Tribolium castaneum: one gene and its partner. The protein of the gene in region 1 interacts with the protein of each later gene in a pairwise test. Links are inferred from orthologs where the notes say so. Each region holds a gene or a part of one and is shown on either strand. Other genes may lie near its edges.

Region 1 (12,369 bases):
GAGCAAGGAACACACAAAAATTACTGGCAAATAAACACTACTTCAAAAAGAAAAAAAACACTGATGCTCAATGCATTACTAAATTTAGTAGGATAATTCTGTGTATAAATAATACTAGGATACAAAAACATCGTGTTTTCTACATCCTCCTATCTAGTTGATCGAGGTTTATTTTGCCCTCTCTTCTTCTTACCCCGCACTTGACACTTGGAGATTCTCGGACTCAAATTTTGTCAAAGTAAAATAAATATTCGTTTCGTTCAAAACTACTAAAAAATTTATTTATTCCTTGGACGCATTCTGTTCGTATCATCACAGTGCATCTTTCCCTTACATGTTTTTTAAAATATCATGATTATTTGTTTAAAATTTTAATAAAAACTATCAAATGTTTTTTTTTCAAAAAAGTGTTACGTTTCTCAAATTCTAATTATTTCAATTCCATTTTTCAAATTAAAATTAGATAAAAAATGTCGCTAAACATAGTAAAATAAAGTTTATTATATTACTACAGGTCTTTGTCGCACTCTGTCGTTCCCTTTAGCCTTAACAAACTGACCTGTAAGGTAATGAATAATGATTCAACTTACGAACAACAGCCAATTGTAAAGAACCTACTCTTCTAAAAAATTCAATTTGAAATTTTGCGTTTAAACGCTTGTATAAGAGCTCCTCTTCAGACATTCTCACAACAGCTCAACCTTAAGACACGGAACAGTCGGCACCTTAAACATGCTAATCGTGTATTGTTTATTACATTAACATATCAACTTACATCCTTCGAATTCATAGAGCGACTGGAACGACGGCAGGGTAATAAGCGAAGTGATCCGTTCGCTGGGCGGCTCAGCCCCAGCTCCCGAGAAGCTCCGCGTCGAGTCGCAATACTGGGAGTCCAACCTGCACCAAGCCATCGAAGCCGGCAAACGACTAGGTGAGACCAAGTTACCCTTTTAGCAGTCGCGGCAGCCAGTGAAGCGTGCATAGAACAATTAATTTAATTGTTATGACTCAGGTGTGCAACCAATACTATCAGCCAAGGACATGGCAGACGCACACGTCGAGCATTTGGGAGTGATGGCATACGCGGCTCACTTCCAGTGGATCCCCGAACGGCCCCCGCTGCACGACCTCATCTCCGTCGCGCTCAACTCGACCTCGGGAAGGGTTGGAGAACCCGTAAGTAATCGCCGGTGCAGTTATTACGTAACGCTAAGTTGTGCTGTTGACACACTTTTATATTTCATATTAATTAAGAAAGTTGTAGCGAGTTAATTGAGCCAGTTTTGCACTGTCGCTACTTCCAGACGCACTTCCAAGTCAATTTGCTCGACTCCTCGCTGGCGTACTCGAACGTGACGGTGGAGATAAGGGGCCCTGATAACAAAGTGTATCCGGTGAAGAACCTGAGGCAGGGACGGGGGGTCTTCGTGCCGCAGAAGGTTGGTATGCATGAGATCGTCGTCAAATACGAAGAACAGGAAGTCGTCGGCGGTCATTATTTCCGAGTTTTGCCCCAACTTGTTGAAGTAGCGCCGCCCGGGATGGCGCCGTGTGCGTTGGGGTCGCTGGTCCAAGTCCTGGTCAATGCCACAGGTTTGCTTTTGCTTTTGTGAGCGACTGATTTGCATCGTGGGTGTTTAGGGGCGCCGAGGAGGGAGGATATTCTAGTGACGGCGTACAGCCCCACAGGGCGGCCGTTGAATTGTCCATTGACTACCATCGATGGGACCAATAGTGCTACCTTCAAGCCGGACGAAGCCGGGGAATGGAGGATTGAGATTACGTATCAAGGAAAGCAAATACAGGTAGTTATCCGTTTCGATGTCAATTATTGATCAATCACTTGACAAAATTAACCTTCGTTATATGACAAAAGAACTAGTTTTACTTCCTCTTGGTTTTTAAGTCTCACGGGATTTATCATCGAGGGTTTGATTGATTTGAAAGATTATTTCTGACGTATCGGCTCAATTTATTATTCCAATTAGTTGCGTTCATTTGATGAATTCGAACGTGCAGCGATTTATTAAAATTAACTCGACTTGTGTTTACCATAAGTAAATTATAATAATTGCGGTGAAGTCAATGATGAAAACATTTTGTATTGAATTATGTTTTTGGAGTCGTTATTGGGCACAATTTTTTTTTATAGTTTTTCGTGAAAATATCCACGATTAAGTCGCTGTAAAACATTTTGTATGTTTTTATAAAATCACTACTCTTTTGGTAAGATTCAATCTTGCTGTAATAAACGAATTATGAAAAGAAAAGCGAAATATAATAATTTTTGTTGGGTAGCTTTATTTTAAAATCTTGAAATCTAGCCTGAAATCGTGTTCGTATATCCTTTCAATTCATATTTGAATTTTGCAACAACGCATTTGCATTTTTTGGAGTGAAATGGAGCACAAATTGAGAGTATCTATTTGTATTTGACGCTGGGATTTAGTTTAACACAGAATTCTTATAGAAACTTTCAATTTTTGATGTATTTCAATCCAAAAAATTCATATGCGTTGTTGCAAAATTCTACTAAGAACTGAAATTCGTTTAATTACGTTTTTTATGCTCGCACGTATAAGTTAAATAGCACCATAAAAAATGTAAGAGTTGTGCAATGAAAACTGTAGAAATACAAGCACCATAAAACGAGAAATATGAGTACGTATGTACGAAATATGAGTATCCTTAAAACTGAAAATTAAATTTCTTTTTTCTATAGCAGGTGATAAAGTACCTATGTCTTTCTTTATCAATTTTTTTGAGTGAATACAATAGCACTTTAACCAAAAGGGTAGATAAAATATTGAATTTTTTATTCAATTAAATTTACAATTTGCAACATTTTAATTTGAAGGATATACGGATTAACAATAATTTTTTTCTCTTAAACTTGAAGTCCTGCTATAGAAAAAAAGTTGTATTACTTATACACGACGATAAAGATTGTTTATCTATCTACTCCTGAAATAAGTCCACTTGTGACTTCGTCCACATTAAGTTTTAAAAATTGTTGTTTTTCTATCCAAAAAGCTAAAAATTGATATGAAAATACATTAAAAAAATTCCATGGTTACAACTGTAACTACTCTACAACAATTAAAATATAGGTACGGCGAAAACACTGAAGTACTGACAATGATCAATATATGCTGCCAATTATATGTTGATAAATTTGTTAAAAATGACACTGGGTATTTTGATAGATTTTTTAGACGTTTTCTGAAACGTTTTCTAAACAGAGATAAGCAAAAGTATGAAACCAAGGGTTTTGTGTCTAAACTATGTACGAAAAACAAATTGGTACATCTAACTAACTTTAAAAATGTGATCATTTTTAAAAATGTTTTTTCTTTTAAATGGCACCCTACTACGGCGATTTTTTTGGTAAATATTATGCTCTAAAATTGATTTCTAATACAATAGTATTGTTTTAAACCAGTGTTTTTTCAAAATAAATTATTAAACTAGCACTACAAAGATTTTTCGAAGTTAGTCGTAAATGTTGTATCCATGTTTTTCTTGGAGTAAATGTAAATTTTTTACAACCACATTGGCCAAGATCAAAAAATTTTTGCAATGAACTCGGAACGCAAATTTAATATTTTTATTAAACATTTTTAGGGGATTCTCTTTTACCAAAAAAAATAGCAGCAATAGTATGCCATTAATTTTTTTTGAATTTTTTTGAGCAACTCAAAAATTAAAAAAAATTAAAAAATATACTTAAAAAATTATCACATTTTTTAAAGATGTACTTGATAATGTACTAAATGGAGTAATTTTATCTGTAAATTTTTTGCGGGTAAGGACATCCATGGCGATACAACCAATTCGGCAAAGTTCGAAAATTTTTTGTAATAAGCTCGGGGCGTCATTTTAATATTTTATTTTAATTAATTAAAAAAGTGTATACAGTTTTCTGCTATATTTTTTTCCAAATTTGTATCTGCTTGTAACTTCATTCTTTTTATCAGTTGATTTTCTCTAAAATTCTGTAATGTCCTTGACTTCTCCTGAACAATTTATTTGAATGAAGCAACAAATCCAATTCTAAGCACAAGTTTTCTAAAAATGCAAAATTTGTAGTTCTGAAAATTAAATTTAAAAACCTGAAATAGTTTTTTTGCACTAGACTTGTAACTATCACCTTAATTTTCTAAATATTATTAAAAAATTAGCTTATATTTATTTAAAAAAAAACAAAACGTAGTCATTTTTACGACTTTTTTCAATACCTAATATTACGTTGCCACTGACTTTTTCTATAGACATTTTACTGTAGCATTTACTACTCAGGCTTTTTTTACCATTACTCTTCGTCAATTTTCTATAATATTAATTGAAACTACTATGAAAGTTCTTAAAACTCATTATCCAAAAAAATTAAGAACTAAGTAAAAAAGCGAAGTAAAAAAATACGTCGAAAGGTAAAAATCTGATCAATAATTAATTTTAAATATGCAACCCGTTTATTTACTTGGTACTCGTATTTTTTTTAATCAAAATAAAGACATTTTTGCCGCCTCTAAATTTCTGCCGCTCTGGGCTATAGCCCATTTATAAGTATGCTACTGTCTCACGAAACTTTATCGAGACTCCACCACAAGAATTCAGTTTATTTTAACATTTAACTTTTTTATTTATAAACAATATAATAGAAAATTTAATCTTTCCACAATACTGATTCCAAGCATAAATCTTATTCTAATTTGACTTCGTAATGCTTGTTGATTAATGACAGTATTGCAAATAAAGAAAATCAAGGCCGAACTTGCCTTGTTTACATCCAGTTTTAACACAAAATGTAGGCTTTCAGCATTCACGTTTACTACTCATTGTTTTAAATAACGAATTGTACTAGCAGCTAATTGTCTTTTATTGTTACACTTAAGTAGTTTACCATTCGTGATTTCAACATTTGTAGAATGTATTGAAATGGCAACTTTTACACAATAATTTCGTACTTGTCTGCTAAAAATACAAAATTCATGCATAATTTAATTTAAATATATTGTTTACACTTCACTAAGCTGCGTTATTTCGTTTTTAATAAATGTAAAATGCCTTTACTCTCACTCGTTTGAGTCCAGCACGCAAAATATTTAAAAATAAATAATTAATAGACTCAGAGTATTTCTTTGGCAACCATATATATCAACTCACAAAAACATTCTTTATTCAAAATAGTTGTTTCGTAATTTTGTTTTTTCAAGTCGTGTATGAGACGAATTTTTGCTTGTTTTCAAAATCAAATTAATTTCAGGGTGGTCCTTTCACATGCTCAGTCTTCGACCCGAACGGCGTCCAAGTCTCCGGCCTCGAAGGCGCCCTGCCTCTCGTACCCCACAGCATCGACCTGGACTGCCGTGCTGTCGGCGTCCCTGGCGAAGTCTTCGCCGACATCGTCCACGACAAGCGCTCGGTCCACTGTCGCGTCGAGAAAGTCAACTCTTCGAAGCTCCTCTACCGTATCCACTTCACCCCCAAAGACGTGGGCAAGCACCGAGTCTACGTCTACTTCAACGGCTACGACGTCAAAGGCTCCCCGTTCATGATGCGCGTCGGCACCCAAAAGCGCTCCAAGTCCTCCAGCAGTCCGAGCCCCAACTCCACGTACAGACAAAGCCCAACTAGTCGATATTCAAGTTCTAGTCCAATCAACCACGTCAAAAACGCGACTTATAGCAATTACCGCCAAAGTGCCAGTCCGGTGTCGAGTGAAACCCACAAATACGCACAAGAGTATCACAAAATGTCGGTGGATAAGCGAAATTCGCCGAGTTTCAACGACCGGACGAACAGTCCGAGTTACCTCAACCGGACTAATAGTCCCAGCTACATGCAGAGGACCCAGAGTCCGAGCTACAACAGGTCGGATAGTCCTGACTACATCACCAGTCGGAGACTCAACGAGAAACGCTACGACACCGCTAGTCCCAGCTTTGCCAAGAAGGCAGAGTACGACTCGAGTTACACGTCGAAGATGTCTTCCATGCGTATTTCCGAGTCCAGGAGTCCGAATTTTTTAGAACGTTCTAGTCCAGATGTTGGTTATAACTCACGGTACGAGAAACGGGTCACTGAAAGTCGGTCTTTTAACAATTCGTATGATCACAACGACGGAATTGACACTAGTCCCATAGTCAAAGTGTCGGCAATCGCAGACCAATCATCCGCCAGAAGAGACTCCTGGGATGCTATTGCAAAAACACGAAATATTCTATCAGAGCGAAGTCTTGAATCAGTGGCCAATTTAACCGACTCCCAACTAGACGCCGACCTGCGACGGAGAAAAGTGGAGGAACACAACCGAATGTTCACCCAAGAGCACAACTACACGTCCTCACAGAAATACTCGAACAACATTGATATTTATGGGAGGAATTCACCGTCCACAGGACACAGGATCGGGGTTAGAAACGGCGGAGCGTCCGCTGTTAAAGTTCAGCCGGTCCCTGACGGCGTCCTGGGACAACCCGTTGAGTTTGAAAGTACTTGTGATACCTTTAGTTTAAATTTTTGGTAGTAATGAGTTTGAAATTGCAGTTGATGGGAGCGGTGCCGGCTCCGGTGATTTGGAAATTCTGGTGGAAGGTGGTCGGGTCACGTCCAGTGTTAGGAGTCTGGGTGGACAACGGTTTAAGGCCGCTTTTACCCCACACCAAGCGCTGCCGCATCGGGTCGATATCAAGTTTAACGGCGAAACGGTGCCAGGTAAGTGATTTTTTTTATGGAAATCGCCGATTTTGGAATGGTGTTGGCGAAGAGGCCCACACTTGTTTGCGTGGGAGTTGATTGTGTTGTGTGACACAGTTTTTGAATTGGGCCAGGGTCGACGGAGTTTATTTTAATGGGTTTATGATTTAAATTGTTTTTAACCGATATCAGGCAATACAAAAACATGGATATTGTTTCGGTTAAGAATGTGCAGATGTAGATTGTTGCAGTTAGGTCGTACTCAAATGGAAATCTATGATTGATTTATGTCTCTCCATTAGTTATCTTAAAGTTATGAGATTCAGCGATGTGGCAAATAGGGTTATTATGTCCATATAAGTCAATCTTTAACATAGAGATGCGCATAAATCTTTCTAAGTAAACGTGCTATAATTAACAGGAGGAGAGATTGCAAATCGGCAAGGTGTGGCTAGGTATAATAAATTTATCATTTTGACAGTATTGATACATACGTATGTCATACCCTATTTATTTATTTGTACAAAATTTTTCCTCATTTTAAACGACTAAAGCTAAACTGATTAACATTAATAAAGATGTAGCACAAAAACTAGTAAATACAATAGGTGTACGTAAAATGAAACGTAGAATCCGTCGCAAACTGTTTTACTCTAAGATTTTTACTTTTCGGGTAACAAATTTTTTTTGTCAAAACTAAAAATCTTTCTGTAACCGGAGTCGTAACCCGGAACGGCTTTAGGTTCTTACGAGAAGAAAAATAATTTAAAGCGCATTTTGATGCTTTTTTGGTTTTTGCTTACGTATAAGTATTCCGGGGAAAATGCAAAATGCGTTGAAATGTTTACAGTTTTTACTTTTCAAGCGGCGACTATTGGAGTTAGCGAAAAATGTCAAATACTATTAGAACCGGGTTAAAAAACTACAAAATCGTATGAATTTTAAGACAATTTCTAAAAAAAAACCATTTTTAAATGCTGATTATGGCGAAACTTTAAATGACTAGAAGAATTTTTTTTAAGAAATTGAAAGACATTTGGTTTCGTTTTTGACCATTCAATTTTGTGATAAGCTTATTACAAGCATGATTTTTTTCATTTTTACATCGTAAGGAGCACATCAGAAAAAGCTAACAGAGAGAATGGATTCCTTCGATTTTGGATGCTTCCAAAATTGGATTTTGTGTGGTGGATTTTTTTATTTTTGGAAGCTTTTATTTAACTTGTTTTGTTATCTGTTTGTTTGTTTCTGGGGTTCCTGTTATGCGAACGAAATGGAATTTTGCATACACACGTAATCTCCGTGACAATGCAATTCGATTTAGTTAATTCCCCCAAAACGGGGTAAAAGGGGTTGTTGAAATCATTTTCGACAGAGTTCATATATGACATTTTAAGAAAAGTAATCAAAAAATATGTTGTTAAATAAATAATTAGAAAAAATGAAAGAGATGCGAATAAGATAAGCGAGGTTCAAGGTTCAAAGTTAAGTGACAATATCTTGAAAATTACTACTGCAGTTTGCTTCTTCAATATGTGACATATGCCTCATGGAAAACAAATCCTACAAGCAGATGAGCAAATGGGGTTGTTTAGGATGGGTAAGCGATCTAAGTAAATACCGAGATAACGACTAAAAAATAAAAAAACAAAAGAACTGTTTTTAAGGGAAACTTTTATTTAAAAATGCTCTAATAAATAAACAGTAATGTTTTTCTATCACTGGAGATAATTTTTGCTTACAGATTAGGATATTTTATAAAAGCTTTAAGAGTGATCTTAACACTACTTATACCACACTACAAAATTACTTTCTTCAATTGACCAATGTTCGATTGTTTCCAAAGCTTTTATAAATTTTGGAATAATAATGTGGATGCAAAAATATTCTCCTATGATAGAAAAACAGTATTTTCTACTTTTTACTGTATTTTTTAAATAAAAGCTTTCTTTAGAAACATATTTTTTGTGTTTTTTTTATTTTTTATGTTACGGCAAAAGCATTACATCAAAACTATTTTGATGTAAACGTATATAAAATGATTTGGGGAATCGATTGACGCTGAGCAAAATGCAAAATTTATTAGGTATTTAGTTATCAACAGATGTAAATTTTAACTATTTTTGCTTTTGTTAGCAATTTTCTCGAAAACTATTAGTTGGAGGACAACGATTCTTTTTCAAAATTAAAAAGATAATAAATTAATGGGTTTACGTTTACATGTAATAGTTTCAGAGTTAAAAAAATCTGAAAATTCAAACTTTCTAAAATCGATATTCGATATTTGCTGAAAATATTTCCGAGGTTTTCATAAAGTGATTCATCGATAAAGATATATACAACGTGAGTGAGCTAATAGTATTTTTTGCTATATCTCAAAAAATGTACAGAAATCTGCGTTTGCTTTAGCAATTTTACTCGCAATTTTACATTTTTTATAATAAATATGTATTTACTTAATTAAAAATATTAATATGAATAAAATATTATTCGAACTAAAGTTTATTATTTTTAGTGTCATGTTAAAACAAATTCCTAAATTAAAAAAAATACGTAAAAAAATTTACGATAGTTCTAAAACTGCATCTCTTTGACTTTTTGTAATTTTTTTTTATTTTCCGCCATTTTTATGCTTTAATAGGCATCTTAAAGCACTCAACGTCATCAAGTGCGATGTCACAATAGTCATTATTTGACGGAAAATTTTACGAAAATTTTTAGGTTGGCAAGAAGCAAATTCGAGACCGTATTTTTGCTAATGTCACAAATTTCAGGGGGTGTTCATGCAAGATTACCTCCATTGTCATCCAAACTTTTGTTTTTTGACACAACTTTAATAAAAAAAATTTAAATCAATTTTTCTTTTTCAAAATTGAGATATTACCAACTGTCACAATTACCTAAATCGACTAAAATAACATTTTTTGTTTAAAAACGGCAAAAAGGGGTCAAAATACAAAACATAATATAAAAAACTAATATCATAAGATCTTAAAGCACTCATTCTTTCAAAAAACTCGTGGCTAACGCCACTCGTTTTTGAAACTGAATTCGTACTTTAAGGTTGGTCTTATGAAACTTGTTTTTTAATATACTATTATTTTTTAAGGCCAGCGCCAATTTCACTGTGTAACAAAAAGTGGAATTTATGTGTAATAACTAACAATAATAGTGTTTATTAAAAGTGTAGGTCTTTCCGAATAATTTTTTTGGTGCAATTTATTTCTAGTGTTGAAAAAAAAATGGGGATTTGACAATGCAAAATTTACGTTATCTATGAACTTGGTCTCTTATATTAAAAATTATATTAAAATATTTAATAATTATATTAAAAATATTTTAAGAAATTAAGAAAAAAGTCTGCACTTAATCTACTGCTAACAATAAATAAGAGGGATTTTTTAACTTTATTTTTCCAGAGCCTATGCGCCATTTTATATACACCTTCTATATAGAGAAAAATAAGAGGTATTTAATAGACAAGGCATCGGAAAAGGCTGATTTCTGTATATTTATGTTGTTAGTATTTGAGATACCTACGGTGAAAATATACTTTTAGCAGACTCACCTGGTATACAAACAGCGGAAGAATCAAAGGAAACATACTACATTCTAAACTGTTTACCGGGATTTTTAAATGTCTTAATTAAAATGTTTACATTGTTCCAAGCATTGTCCAATTATTTCATTATGTTTATCTTCTTCTCAAAAATATAAAATTCATTTCTGGGTACCTTTTTTTCGTAATGTGTAATCCGAATTTAAACAAATTTAATTAACAGCAAAATTTATGCACAATGTTCCGTGAAAAGTATTTTAACGAGCACATTGTAACATATACTGTTCAGGTTTTAAATGAATTTCTTTATTTAGCAATAACAAAATAGCCGCTGTTTTAACAATGTTAGCCTAGTTCGCGCCAATGTCTGTTAACATTTATTCCATAAAGCGTAAAAATTAAAATATTATCATTAATAAGTAATTTTGTGATCTTGCTTCGCATTTCATCGATTTGAAGAAAGTGAAACGATGTGCAAAATTTTTGTGTCTAGCGTTTTTGCGTGATTCAGCGATGTGAACGTCCTATAATTTTGAACGCGCTTCAAATGCACAAACACGAGAAACAAGTCCAGTGTCTCCAATAATTAATTCCACGTTTATTAAAGCATGATTGCTCTAATAGTATAATAAACGTATTTCTCATGTGTTACTATAAGAGAGAGCATATTATATAAGCATCTGCACATTTCTATGACCTAGTAATAAGTTAACCGGTTACACACAAAGCCAGCAATCTCAGAAACAATGTAGGGAATTTCACCGATGACCTCAGAATTTCTATTCGATAATAACCCGGCCCTGGTTCCAAAATCCGGAAACGAATTTTTCTTTGCGATTTGCCACGGTTTCTGCAAATCCGACTTTGAATAAATTTGCATTTTTCGAATCGGCAACAACGTGACTAAAATTAAATGCCAGCAGGCAGTTATTTCTCCTTTTTCCGCTTTCATCTTACCTGCGCGCAGGTTCAATGGCCCACTGGGTCTTATTTATTTCTGAAATAAGAACGACCAATGGAGCGTTTGTTTACGTCCAGGAAATTTAAATCTGGATGTCATTATTCATACCAAATGGTTCCCCGATCACTGAAGCGACGCTTGTGACCATCGGCCGGAACCAAACGTTTAAATCAATGGCGTAGCGATTTAGGCGCCACAACAATTACTCTAGCTAATTGTTATGACCTGGACTTTGAACTAAAGTCCAATTTGAAAGAAACAAATTGTTTTTTTCGTGGTTGTTAGAACCAGTGGCGGTTGGTGCAAAATCAGGAATCAATTTATGTTTTCTGACGGACGCCACTGCATCGCGAGTTACCTGTAGTTAGCGTAGGAATGTCGCCCGCCTCTCTCCCCGCCCACTGTTGTGGTACCCACGACTTCTACCAACACTAACACGGTACCAGTACCAGCCGCGTTACCATTACCGACGTTCGCTTCGCGCTGTCGTCCATTTTCCGCGAAAACCGGACTTTTCCGGGGTACCACCGAGTCGAAGTGCGTGCGATGTGCGGTTCCGGGTCGGCCAGGCCCCAGTTTGAAGGGTTTTTGTGGTTTTAAGGGAGTCCATGGCATGTTAACATCATGTCGAACTCAAATCTGTCAGTTTTGGGCGAAACCACCAGATTGGTGCCGGCCAACACTTCGGCCGTTTTCGAAATCATAACAAGTACCAATGTGGCGCCCGACGATTTGATGGTGCATGTGATTGCGCCCAGCAAAAGGTCGGTGCCGGCGAGAGTGCTCCCCGGAAATCGCACCGGAGTTCAAAGTGTGGAGTTTGTGCCGACGGAGGTCGGGACTCACATCATTGAAGTCACCGTTAACGGGGAAAAGTTGCCCTCGGGGCCCTTGATCGCCAAAGTGTACGATGCTGGGCTTATTCAAGTGGCCGATGTCAGTGGAGGGGTTGTGGGACAGCCCGTGCAATTTCGAGGTAAGCTTTTAAATAAATGCAACATTTTTTAATTACGCGATTATGGTACTATTGTGAAAGTCCCGGGGTTTGATTTATTGCCGAATTAATATTTATGCGACCATCCGAGCCAGAACTGGCCAAAATTTTCAGTTATTTGTAAATCGCGCCAGGAAGAGGGTGGTACTCCTA
Region 2 (12,850 bases), on another chromosome or scaffold:
TTAATTCTTGTGAAAAATTGATATAATATGTAAAATGAGCCGCTGAATTCAATGGAACAAACCGCAATGCTCTACGACTTTTAGTTTTTTTTTATGAATTTTTTTAGTGAAAAACTTTGATCGCCTCTGTAGCCGGAACCGTTGCCCGGAGCGGCTCCGGGTTTAATCGAAAAAATAGAGAAAATTAATCGCTATCAGATGGTTTTTTGTTCGTTGCTCTAAGTCTTACAGTTTCCGAGAAAAACGCAAAAAAAGTTTCCATTTTCACTTTTTTTCAATTTGCAACCGCCAATTACGGCGAAACTGTTAGAGTTATCGAGAAACGGAAAAATCGAGGACAACCGGAATAAAAAACTCTACAAAATGGCATAGGACTCAAGGCGATATCTCGCAGAAAATTTTTCAATTTTCAATCGCCGATTACGGCCAAACTAAAAGAGCTAGGAGAAAACTCTTTTTTCCATCGTAAAGAGCACATCAAAAGCTATAAAATAGAATAAGTTTTATTCGATTCTGAGACACTTTTAAAATTGACCATTTTGAAGGGGGGGGTGTTAACTTTTTTTTAATTTTTTTTATTTTCCCAATTACGACTAAACTATTCAAAAAAGTGGAACTATTTTGATCCATACCTATGCAAAATGATCCGGGAAATCGATTGGCATCGAAAAAATTGCCAAATTCCCAATAGTTTTTTAGTTATGAATTTTTTAAAATTTTACCAATTTTTGCATTTATCTGCAATTTGCTCAAAAACTATTAGTCGGAGAACAATAATTTTTTTTGAAAAAAATAGATAATTCAAAAAGCTTTCCAACGATAATAAACTTCATAGGGTTATCTCTGATAGTTCCGGAGCTATTGCTCAACAAATGTGCCGGGTACTCAAAATCGACAAAAATTGCGACGAAAATTGAAAAAATCAAACATCAAAAAATCGAACATATGGACTTTTTTTGGACTTTTAACAACTCTAGAGTGTTGTAAAGGCATATATAAATGCGAAAAAGTATGATAGAACGAATTTAAAAAAAAATAATTTTTTCACTTTCTTGAAGGTAAGTGTTTATTTCTCAAGAAATTTTAGCAAAAAAAATAAAATTTTTAAATCTCATGAAAAGTTCGTATAATACAGAAAATGAGCCGCTGAATTCAATGGAACAAACCGCATTGCTCTATGACTTTTAGTTTTTGAGTTATGAATTTTTTTGTTGGATAAAATTTTCCACTATGACAAATGGCTACCCTAAATTTTAGCAAAAAAAATTAAATTTTTAAATCTCATGAAAAGTTTGCATAATACAGAAAATGAGCCGCTGAATTCAATGGAACAAACCGCATTGCTCTACGACTTTTAGTTTTTGAGTTATGAATTTTTTTGTTGGATAAAATTTTCCACTATGACAAATGGCTACCCTAAATTTAGGCAAAAAATTTTAAATTTTTAATTCTTGTGAAAATTTGATATAATATGTAAAATGAGCCGTAGAATTCAATCGAACAAACCGCCATGCTCTACGACTCTTAGTTTTTTTTTATGAATTTTTTTAGTGAAAAACTTTGATCGCCTCTGTTGCCGGAACCGTTGCCAGGAACGGCTCCGGGTTTGGATGAAAAAATAGATAAAATTAAGCGCTATCAGATAGTTTTTTTGTTTTTGGTAAATAAAATTTTTCACTGTAGATGCTTAATTTATCTTAATTTTTAGCAAAAAACTTTAAAAGTTTACATCTTGTTAAAGAATGGTTTCATACGCAAAATGAGCCGCTGAATTCAATGAAACAAACCGCTTTTAGTTTACGAGTTATGAATTTTTTTTGGTAAATAAAATTTTTCACTATAGATGTTGCCTATCTTAATTTTTAGCAAAAAATTTTAAATTTTTAGTTCTTGTGAAAAATTGATATAATATGTAAAAAAAGATTGCCAACTATAAGAGTTAGCGAAAAATCGGAATAATTCATTAGAACATAATAATCCATTTTCTTTACCTCGATGTATACGTTGTACTTTTATTAATAATTTATAAAATCAGTTTTTACTTTGGATAGGTTTATGACATGTATCTGGAAGTTTGTTTTATAATATCGTGTGGAAGCGGTATCCACTAAAAGAATCTCATATTTATGCAAAAAATCCGATGTTCTCTACACTCGGAATGCAAAACAGGATCATCAACGCTCCAAGAAGCGAGTCACGCACGACGGCACAGTTGCCAACTTTATTGATTGCCCTTTGTAAAGAACTGATTCACTCCAATTATAAACAAAATTGCGGCATTTATTGATTCCACTTTAATTAAACAACGCGGGCAAATTTCAAAAGACGGCTGAGTTCGTGCCAACTCGTGCGCTGATCGGTCAACAGGTGGGGATGACATGCTTGTTGTTATTTTCCTAACCTAATTACCTAATTGTCAAAATAAAATGAAAAACGTCCAACAAGAGATTTTAACTACAGGTAAAATATTACATACATTAACAATTTGCCTGCAGTTATGTTCTTAGAGGATACGTTTGTGTCCGTTGTCCCGACCCGTGATAACACCCTTAAAGTGCAAAATTGCACTGAGGATACCGGGGAGCGAGTGCAGCTCTGTAAGTTGCATGAATTTCTTACCACCTTTGAATTGACTAAAATTACAACTTTGCATCTTCAAAATTGCGAAATTAGCCAACTCCCGCGCGATGTACAGAAATTAAATTTAAAGCGCTTGGTTTTGAACCACAATCAACTAAAAGAAGTGCCTAGTTGTTTGTATTCCGGCTTGGAAGCGTTGCAAGTGTTAGACCTGTCTCATAATCTTATCAAAACGTTTGATGTCGAGCCGGCTTGTAGTCGCAATATTGTTAGTCTAAAACTGTCCCATAACAAAATTTACAATTTTCCGCACTGGATCATGACCTGTCATTGCCCCAATTTAATCGAAATTGATTACAGTGCCAATTTTTTGACCAGCGTGAGCGTGGCACGTAAGCTAACGCTCAAAAAAATTACAATGAACAATTCGCAATTGCTTGACGTTGATTTCGAGTTTTTCAAACGTATATCAACCTTAGAATATCTAGATATAGGTAACACCAATTGCAAATTAACAAAACAGGAGAACGAATTTAAAGACATAACTCAACTATTCGTTAAAACCAAATGGAAAGAACTGAAAGTTTTGAAGTTGGACCACATACTTGTGTCTATTATCCCGGACGGACTTTTCTGGATTGTGTCACTGACTGAGCTTCACTTAAGTCATTGCGAGCTGAGCTGGATACCGCCAGAGGTCCAGTATTTAACAAACTTGGAGGTTCTGGATGTGTCTCATAATTCCATTTGCGGAATTCCGAAAGAACTAGCGATTTTACCGAAGTTGCGAATCGTTAAAGCATCTTTTAATCTTGTTTCGTCAGTGGATGATTTCACGAATGAGTTAGAAATTTTGGATTTGTATCATAATGAACTTGAGACGTTTCCAAATTCAATCGAGCGAATTAAATTCGTCGATTTGGAGCAGAATTATGTCGATATGTCGCTGTATAAAACATATGGCGAAAAACGGGATTCTTTCCGCCAAATGCTTGACGATGGGAGAGCTGACGGTCCGAGGGTTCCACCAACGGAGGTTCCCAGCAGTGACGATGATCGGCTTTCATCAGAAGGCAGCGTTTGCGGAAATGATGATTTTTATGACGCTGATTTGGTTGATGAAACGTGGGATTATGAGGAACCTAATGTTAATGTTGGTCGTGTGCGGAACCCAGAAATAACGCCCTCTGATGACGAATGGACGGGGAGAGAAGAAATAATCATCAGGGAAAAAAGAACAACCAAGCCGTGGATTGATGTAAATGAAGACTGGATATTTTCAGATGTTGAATGATTGTTTTGTATGTTTTTAAGTTTAGAATAAAGTTTTTATTACAATTTTTACGCGTTTTTATTTATACGTCCGCCGGTGCTAATAAAATATGGTGGGAGGAAATTAAACGTCTGGCGATGGGGCGGAAAGATAATGGTAATTAAGTTGGTTTGTTAAAGAAGAATAATGGGAACTTGGCAATTATCTAACGCGAGAATTCAATATGTAACGAAATATTTGGGCGAAAAAGTCGTCTTCACACGACATTGTGCGAGTGATTTATCGTCGCTGGGATCTTAATTGCAAAGCAGCCCTCAAGCTCAGGTGAATCTCAAAGGACCAATGAAACGGTGAATCCTAGCCATGGCCAAGTGAGCTAATCTCGGGTGTTTTATTGCCTAGATTCAACTTTACACCTCCATTACGTCAAGGCGTAAACATGCCAGTGGAACAAGAAACCCACATGGACTTAATTTTCGGATGACCGATTTTTCATATTGTTTAACGTTTGTTGTTTTCAAAAGTTGGTCACTTTTTTTTACTTCATTCCTGGTTTACGCAGTTCTGAATAGGTTTTTTGCATAGTTTATCAATTTTTTTTGTAATAAAATAGTTATGATGTTGGTTGCTTGTGTTCGTTCAATTTAAATCGCCTTCGCAAGGCTTTATGCAACGTCCCTGTGGCGCAGAGGATAGCGCGTTGGACTTCTAATCCAAAGGTCGTGGGTTCGATCCCCGCCAGGGATGGGCTGCGAGGCAGCTTTTTTTAAATTTCCATTTCATTTTTTTAATTAACTTAACATTTTATTAAATTAACAAACAGAAATACAAACGGTTCATTGTTGTTCTGCAAACAATTCTTTCGAAGTTCTTGTGTATGTGATACAGTTAATGTGTAAATAGCCAAACCGATGGCTATTTTTATGCATTATTTAATAGAATATTTACAATTGGGCATAATCTTGTAAGTTACGTATTATAATTAGCATTTTTTGCGATTTATTACAATACACCTCAGTTACAATAATAAATTTTTCATTTGTTTATTTTCTCAATTACGACAAAACTATTCGAAAAAGTTAAACTATTTTAACCCCTACCTATGCAAAATGATCCGGGGAATCGATTGGCATGAAGGAAATCGCCAAATTCCCAATAATTTTTTAGTTATGAATTTTTTAAAATTTTACCAATTTTTGCTTTTATCTGCAATTTGCTCGAAAACTATTAGCCGGAGAACAATAATCTTTTTTGAAAAAAATAGATAATCTAAAGAGCTTTCCAACAATGATAGACTTCAAGGGGTTATCTCTAATATTTCCGGAGCTATTGCTCGATAAATGTTCCGGGTACCCGACATCGACCAAAATCGCGACAAAAATTGAAAACATTCAACATCAAAAATCGAACAAATGTTTTTTTTTTGGACTTTTAACAACTCTAGAGGTTTGTTAAGACTTATAAAAGTCTATAAAACTTTGCTAGAGTGAGTATAATTTTTTTTATCATTTTTGTGAAGGTATTTGCTTTGACTTTGACCATTAAAATTTTAGGCAAAAAAAATCAAAAACTCATCTTGTGTTTTTGAAAAAGATAGATAATAAATAATAATAATAAATAATAAACTTAATGGAGTTCGTCTTATAGTTCCGTAGATATAGCTCGAGCGACAAATTTAAAAAATCAATTTTTTGATTTTTTGAAGGTGAGTTGGCCATTTAAATTTTAATTTTTATTAACTTCAGCTTCAGGTTTACATTCTATTAGATTGAAATCTGCTTGTTTCTTGGGACTGCTGTTGAAAAGAGCTTCGCATTTTTGGTAAAAAAAAAGTTATTTTTGCCACGTCTCCCAACAAAGCCACCAGAGATCTAATCCGTTTCCATTTACCTGACTCTGGCAGTGTGAACGTCCGGCTCGAGGCTCGCTTCACCTCGGCCTGCCACTAGAGTGTTTGCCTCATGTAAAGTAACATCGGCCATGTTGACTTACTCACTCTCCCAATACGCATTGCCATTGAAATCGCGCTAATTTCGTTTAAACAGTGCCCAAAAGTGCCAAAATCCCAAAATAGTAATTTCTCGTGCATGACCCCGAAAAAACCAACTCGAAATATCTCAATTCCTTCAATATGTGACGCGAGTGAGCCACTTCTGTGACCTACATCCAGTTTAAAAGCCACACAGAATATGTCCAGTTCGCGTTAAGAGATTACGGTGGCATGTTATTAAACATGTCCAATAAGAAACAGCCTTTTGTAGTGAAACCAGCAGCGGATTCTGCCACTTCTGCACCCCCGAGATATCAGCCGCCGCCGTTACCGCCCACTGGGGCCCAGGGCATCCTCAAACACCACCCGAAAGATGCCAAACTTTATCCCGCACCCAAACTACCCGAAAACGTGAGGCTGCCACAGCCCGGAAAAAACTACCCCTACTATCCAGAACGCACCACACAAGTGCAGGTCTGTAGAGGCGAAATAAAAACACACTACAATTATTTATTCATCCCATTTATCGACAAAAGTATGTCTTAAAGTGAAACCAGAAAGTTGTATTTTTTCTTTAGAGAAGAACTAAACATGAAAGTAAAACTCAGACGATTACCAAAGTTTTACTAATTAATTGCCACCAAATTTCTCGAATTTTTGTGTGTATAATAAGCATTGTATTTTCACTTTTTCATTAGTATTTATAATAATAATTTGACAGGTTTCACATCTCCGGTATTCTAATTAATTATATTATTTTTGCTTTCTAAATGCACCAGTAATATTTCTCTATTGAAACGCACTTTTTCGTAAAATTAATCTCGTTTTTCGTAAAAAAATAGTGCAAAAACCCAAATTTATGTCCTTTTTGGATTGTCTAAGAGAATTTCGGTAAAAAATCACAGTCGAAAACTAATCACCCGGAGCCATATACACAACACTCATTTGGCGAAATTTTCCTCTAGTACGCGAATAATTTTTGATGAAGGTCGGATTGATGTTTCGCTTGATTTAGTTGGTTTTATAAGAGAGAAACGATTTTTTGCGACATTTCCCTCAAAAAGTAAACACGAAAAATCACGTAATTGTTACGTTACTTGTACATTTTTTCAAATGAGGTTGAAACGCAAATTGCTAAATAAAAAAAAATAGGTGCACCAGCCGCGGCCCCTGGACGAGCCCGGCGTGCCCCAGGTCCAGCACCGGCCAGTTCGCTACGACGACGAGTTCCTCCGTCCCGAAATGCTGAAATTCGTTCGGAAACCCGACGACCCTCGCTTAGCCGACCCCAACCGGCACATGCAGAGCATCCTCGGCGAGTTGCGCGCCCTCAAAGAGGCCAACCAGCGCCTCGCCGACGATAACCAGGAGTTGAGGGATTTGTGCTGTTTCCTCGACGACGACCGCCAGAAAGGGCGCAAACTGGCCCGCGAATGGCAACGATTCGGCCGTTACACCGCCAGCGTAATGCGCCAGGAGGTCTCCGCTTATCAAAATAAATTACGCGAGTTGGACAACAAGCAGCAAGAATTGATCAAGGACAACTTGGAGTTGAAGGAATTGTGTCTCTATCTGGACGAGGAGCGAGGCGGCAACTCCATGTGCCCGGCCTGCGGGAGCGCCCCCACGGGGAACCTCCGGGACGACGGCGACGGCTCGAGTTCGAGCACTAACGCGGACGAACCGGCGATTCCCCAGCAGTTCACAAATGGGGGAAACCCCCCGAGGAGGTCCGCCAGTCGGGAGAGGATCCTCCACGAGAATCTTGCAAGGCAAAGGAGCACTTTCAACGGTGCGAAGTTATTTTTCTTGTTGGAATTTTATTAATAAGTGTTTTTAGATCAAATTATGCAATACGTTAGGAGCCTGGAGCAGCGCGTTAAGCAACTGGAGGAAGATAAGCGCGCTCTGACTCATAAAATCAACCAGATTGCGACAACAACGGGCGATTCTAGTATTGCTATTCCGCCAGATGCGGGCGTTGGGGTGCTCACAGGGCGCCCCGAAGCCGTCGTCAGAGCCCTCCAGGTCCTCGAGGTGCGAGAACAGTTGGAGAGGGAAGGGCGGATGCCCGAAAGGACGGAGAACATGTCAGACAGCACGTCTCAAGACATGGACGATGGGGAAAAAGCCCTCGTCAGAGAAATGTGCAATGTGAGTTAAGTTAACTCATTATTATAAAATTTAACGAAAATTACCGCAGGTTGTTTGGCGCAAACTAGAGGAAGGGCCCTCGCGAAGATGAGCCGATGCTTGCCGTAATGTTTAAGTACAAGACACGTCTTGCCATTGCGTGACGTCTATATCAATCCTGCTTATTACAGAGTATTATTTTTATACATTTATTTATTGTGTGAGTCACTGACGTAATGTATGTAGTTTGAAAATTGTTATTTTTTGAGAACGTCTTCAAATAAAAAATCTTTCTATGATGCGCAGTTTCGTAATACCGCTAATTGAGTTATTTTTACGTATATAATTTGAAACTCATGGTCGCATTCCAAGTTTGTTTTGTTGTGCCGGTATGGAAAAGTGGAAAGGTAAGTAAGTGGTGTCTTTTAAATCATTCACCACCGCGGAACAAACGTAGGGTCCTTTCAATTTATTATACACAATATAAACAAAAATAACACTTGTGAAAACAACACTCATTTACTTGAAGAAAACACACAATGGAAATGCAGAAATAAACAATATTTTCTTTTAAATAATCTATAAATACCCTTGAAGAAAAGTCATCAATAACGATGACGGCGACTGCTTCTCCTGTAGTCGTCGTATCTCCGTGAAGACCTTTGGTGTCTTCGTCCATAGTCCCTCTCGTAGTAGTCACCACGGTCTCTATCTCTGTGGCGTCTAGACCGATCGTAGTGCGAATCGTAACTAAAAATATTTATACCATAATGAGCACCATACTCTGACTCATACAGGGCCAAAAAGCTATGTCAGTTCCACACCAAGTCACCAACTGGCATATATGGACACCCATCAAACAAATCCATATAATATGCTTAACCAAACCATATAAATTAATACCATGTGCCTGACAAATCACAAAACAACAATTAGGTAAAACGTCTTGGTGCACTTCGAAAGGAAACAGAAACTCCATCACGAGACAAAGCACACTAAGTGCCCCGGGCAGCTATCAGTTGAGCGGTCTTTTTTTTTAATCGCAAAGTAATTACTAATCTATGGTCAAAAGTAAAAAATTAAGCCCTGTCACCAAAAATCATTAATGTTTAAATTGAATTTGTGAGAAGGCTTAATTTTAGACTTGGTACCTAATTTTAATTTTTTGTGACTGTTAAATATTCTTGCATAACATTATTCCCATTTTAAAAGACGTCTTAACTGATAATCACCTCTTCCACAATGAACCTCAACCGCCACAAATGCTTTGTCTCGTAATCAAACCGAAAGTAAGCTTTACCGTGAATTGCGATCGCGCTTGTCGCCGCCTCCGCCGTTCAATTCCGGGCAGTCTCTGTAAAAATGCCCGGAATAACCGCACTGATAGCATCTCATATTAGAATTGAAGAACCTCCTCCCTGAGCCCCTAGTTCTGGGCCTGGCATGGGTCACCCTAATCCTGCTCCCAGCCACTTCGCTACAATCCCAAGAATAATCCACGAAACCAACCACCACCTCACCCTTACATCCCGTCCGTGGCCTTCAAAGCTGCATTAGCTGCCTTTTTGTCTTTGAAAACGGCGAAGCCGAAACACGGCGTACTGTTGGTCATCCAGACCTCTTTCAAGTCTCCGAAAGGAGCGAAAACCTTCTCCAAGTCGGATTTTCGCACATCGTCCCCTATATCAGCAATGTGGAGCCTGTAACCATCGGCCTCACTGCTCCTGCTCCGGGACCTTGAACGTGACTTGGAATAACTGGAACGGCTCTGTTTGCTCTTATTACTGTTCTTGCTACTGTTTGAGGTGCTCCGACTTCGCCGCTTTTCCGCCTGGTCCGGAGACTGCGACTTTTCCTGATCGTTGTCGCGCATTTTCACAATTTTCACCAAATCAAAGATAAACAACTAATTGTTTCCGGCGCCTACCTAAAATGGCTGCTCTAACCAGACTTTGCCACAAACTAGTAATTCACTCACTGGGGCTCTTGACTCGATTTTCCTTCCCTCCAAACTTTTCTTCTATCGATTTATCACTTTAATTAGGGAATTTTCTAGTCCACCGACGCCAAAAACGACGCCACGTGACGTAATTCCGTCAAAACACCAGCTTGGTTGTGGCTACGGACACGCATTTGGCCCGGTTTACGCCAAAATTACGCGCTTATCCAACAATTTGCACGCCCTAGTTTGATAACGGGTGCCCACCATTGAAATATTACAACATTTAGCAAGAAACTTTTATTGTTATTTCACGAATTGGTTGTGAGGCCTTAGCCACAAGGCACACGAGGCTTGCTCTTTCTCTCTCCCACTCAAGGTTGTTCCATCTCCCCTCTCAACTCTCAAGGTTGCTCTCAAGGTTAGGCCTGTCACGAACGTCAAACTTGTACACAGTGTAAATAAATTGTTAGCGCTTTAAATGTTGGTAAACTCGGGCTCAAGCGTGTAAAATGGGCAATGCAGGCAGTGGCGGAGCGCCGCGGGAGCGCCCCAAGTATGGCGAGACGGTGCCATCGTCCCCCTCCAGAGAGGGCCAAGCGTTCGTTTTCGAGAAAAAACCGGACAAGTTGCTGTACCAGAGCTCGCAAGACGACGAAGAGCCGTATTTCACGCGCCCCGTGACGGCCGATTTCGACCACCAGAGACCGCGAGCTAACACTGTGTCAGAGGGTACTAAAGTCAACACCAGTGACAAGACACCGACGGTTTTCCGATGGGAAGGCGGGGGTAAGGACGTCTACGTCAGTGGGACTTTTACGGAGTGGAAAACTATTCCTATGGTGAAAAGCCACGGCGATTTCGTAACTATCATCGACTTGCCAGAAGGGGAACACCAGTACAAGTTCTACGTTGATGGGGAGTGGAAGAACGACCCTGGGAATAAAATGGTGGAGGACGAAAGCGGTGTCAAAAATAATCTTATTACGGTGAAAAAGTCCGACTTTGAGGTGTTTCAAGCCCTGGATAAGGACAGCGAAAATGCCAATAATGACTCGCAGAAGGAGTTCTCGCAGGAAATACCGGCCAATAAGCCATGGGAGAAGGTCACAGGGCCCCCCATATTGCCCCCGCACTTACTGCAAGTTATTCTGAATAAGGACACGCCACTTTCGGTAATTTGCACTTTTTTTCTTGAATCGTATGTAAAATCCAAACATTGTGATTTCTGAAGATTTTTCAGATTTTTTACGCTCAATTGGTTGATAAAAAAATCAGTTATAGCCTTTTGTTCATATTATATTAGTGTGCATCAAGTAGGTTGTAGAAATCTAAATCCACCTTTAATTTCATGGCCTACTGAAGAAGAGTATTTCTTATCGTAAATAATACAAGGTATATTTTTTGCAGTGTGAACCAACTCTCTTACCTGAACCCAACCACGTAATGCTAAACCACCTTTACGCCTTATCCATCAAGGATGGAGTCATGGTACTTAGCGCCACTCATAGATACCGCAAGAAATACGTTACTACTCTTTTATATAAACCGATTTAAGCTATTATTTATATTGTTGTGCATAATCCTTTAATGTTATTGGGTTTCATTGCTTTCTTTAACAGCTCCTGGAACAATGAAAGAAGTTGCTGGTGGGTCACAGAGCTTCAATGTGGCTCGTTACCATAGTTACCAAATTAAATTAATGCCTTAATGTGGGAAACAAATGAATGCGATTTTTTTCATTGCCTTAAGACAGCTGTGCTATGTAAATAAAAGTTGTTTCTAAGTATATAGCGTTTTATTTTATTTACGTTACACCGTGTTTTGATTTAATGTGAGTCACTAGTGAGACTTTTTGGGGGAAGGCCATTGGACAGTGCTCACAAACGTAGGGTTTTTCATTAGTATGTTGCCTGGTGTGGACTTTGAGCGAGTAAGTGCTCGTGAAGCCCTTGCAGCAATAAACACACATATAAGGCCGTTCACCCGTGTGGCTGTGCATGTGTTTTTTCATGTCTCTGACTCTTTTTCCACATATTGTGCACATAACTTTACCAATTTCTGGGTCTGTAACAAATAAGTTGGAAAAAAATTAAATAAACTGAAACCAGACCTATGTGTGTCTTCAGGTGTCTTTTATATTCCGCTTTGACTTTGAAAGTTTTTTCGCAAATCTCGCAAGTGTAAATGATTCCTCGATGGATTAGCATGTGTCCTCGTAATGATTCCGAATTTTTGAACACTTTGCCACAGTGTTTGCACTCAACTGGTGTTTCCAGGTGCAGTTGGACGTGGCGTTTCAGATTATCAGACCTCACAATCATGCCACAGACGTTACAAACACCAGGAGCCACATGCTCGGTGCGTTTGTGGTTATATAACTTAAATCTTGAAGGAAATGTTTTATCACACACGTTACATTTACACATTTTCATCACAGCGATAGCTCCTTTAACCGTTTCTTTAACATTGTTGGGGTTTAATTCATCAAAAGAACAAACGGATTCATTTTCAGACTGGACTGTTTCGTTCAGTTTTGGTTTAAGCTCTTCGGTTTTGATTGCCGTTTCCGAATTTCGTCTGGCGGGCTTTAAACGTTCATTAAATAAGCTCCTTTCTTTGAGTTCTCTATCGCTGTTAATTATCACTTTGCGAAAATTGTACAGGGTGTTAACGTTTAATACGCATTCTTGGCAAATACTTGAAGGATACTCTTTGCCTCTAATGATCTGTTGAAGAATAAAAATCATAGGTTTGTGTTTTAAATTAGAAGACAAACCGGAATTACTTGAATGGATGAAATTGCCTCAATTTTTTCTATTAATCCCTGGTTTGAATAAAGTGGTGTTAAATTGTCAGGCACTCGTAGACACGTTCGGCACACATTTTCCATTTCCCCCAATTATCACAAAAATTAACAAAACCAAAGCTAAAA

Evidence for each region.
Region 2: the proteins of jbug (region 1) and alc interact in a two-hybrid assay, tested with the Drosophila melanogaster proteins (2 studies listed by BioGRID). The link is inferred for Tribolium castaneum from reciprocal best matches to the Drosophila melanogaster genes jbug and alc.

Annotation. Positions count from the first base shown.
Region 1 is NC_087398.1:12,981,360-12,993,728, forward strand, and holds part of jbug (filamin-A), read left to right. Parts: exon of another isoform or gene 1-559; intron 560-618; exon of another isoform or gene 619-725; intron 726-775; exon of another isoform or gene 776-792; coding exon 793-934; intron 935-1,015; coding exon 1,016-1,179; intron 1,180-1,307; coding exon 1,308-1,596; intron 1,597-1,644; coding exon 1,645-1,808; intron 1,809-5,269; coding exon 5,270-6,497; intron 6,498-6,552; coding exon 6,553-6,720; intron 6,721-11,823; coding exon 11,824-12,198; intron 12,199-12,369.
Region 2 is NC_087402.1:2,228,312-2,241,161, reverse strand, and holds alc (5'-AMP-activated protein kinase subunit beta-1), read left to right. Parts: upstream 1-8,319; 5' UTR 8,320-8,367; coding exon 8,368-8,383; intron 8,384-8,430; exon of another isoform or gene 8,431-8,581; coding exon of another isoform or gene 8,582-8,726; exon of another isoform or gene 8,727-8,831; coding exon of another isoform or gene 8,832-8,886; intron 8,887-9,276; coding exon of another isoform or gene 9,277-9,453; intron 9,454-9,502; coding exon of another isoform or gene 9,503-9,849; exon of another isoform or gene 9,850-9,903; intron 9,904-9,954; exon of another isoform or gene 9,955-10,181; intron 10,182-10,440; coding exon 10,441-11,090; intron 11,091-11,325; coding exon 11,326-11,472; 3' UTR 11,473-11,704; downstream 11,705-12,850. Other genes in the region: leucine-rich repeat protein soc-2 homolog, read left to right, coding at 2,427-2,460, 2,508-3,874; uncharacterized protein LOC100142195, read right to left, coding at 8,582-8,726, 9,277-9,453, 9,503-9,849; zinc finger protein 69 homolog B, read right to left, coding at 11,723-11,982, 12,029-12,644, 12,704-12,808.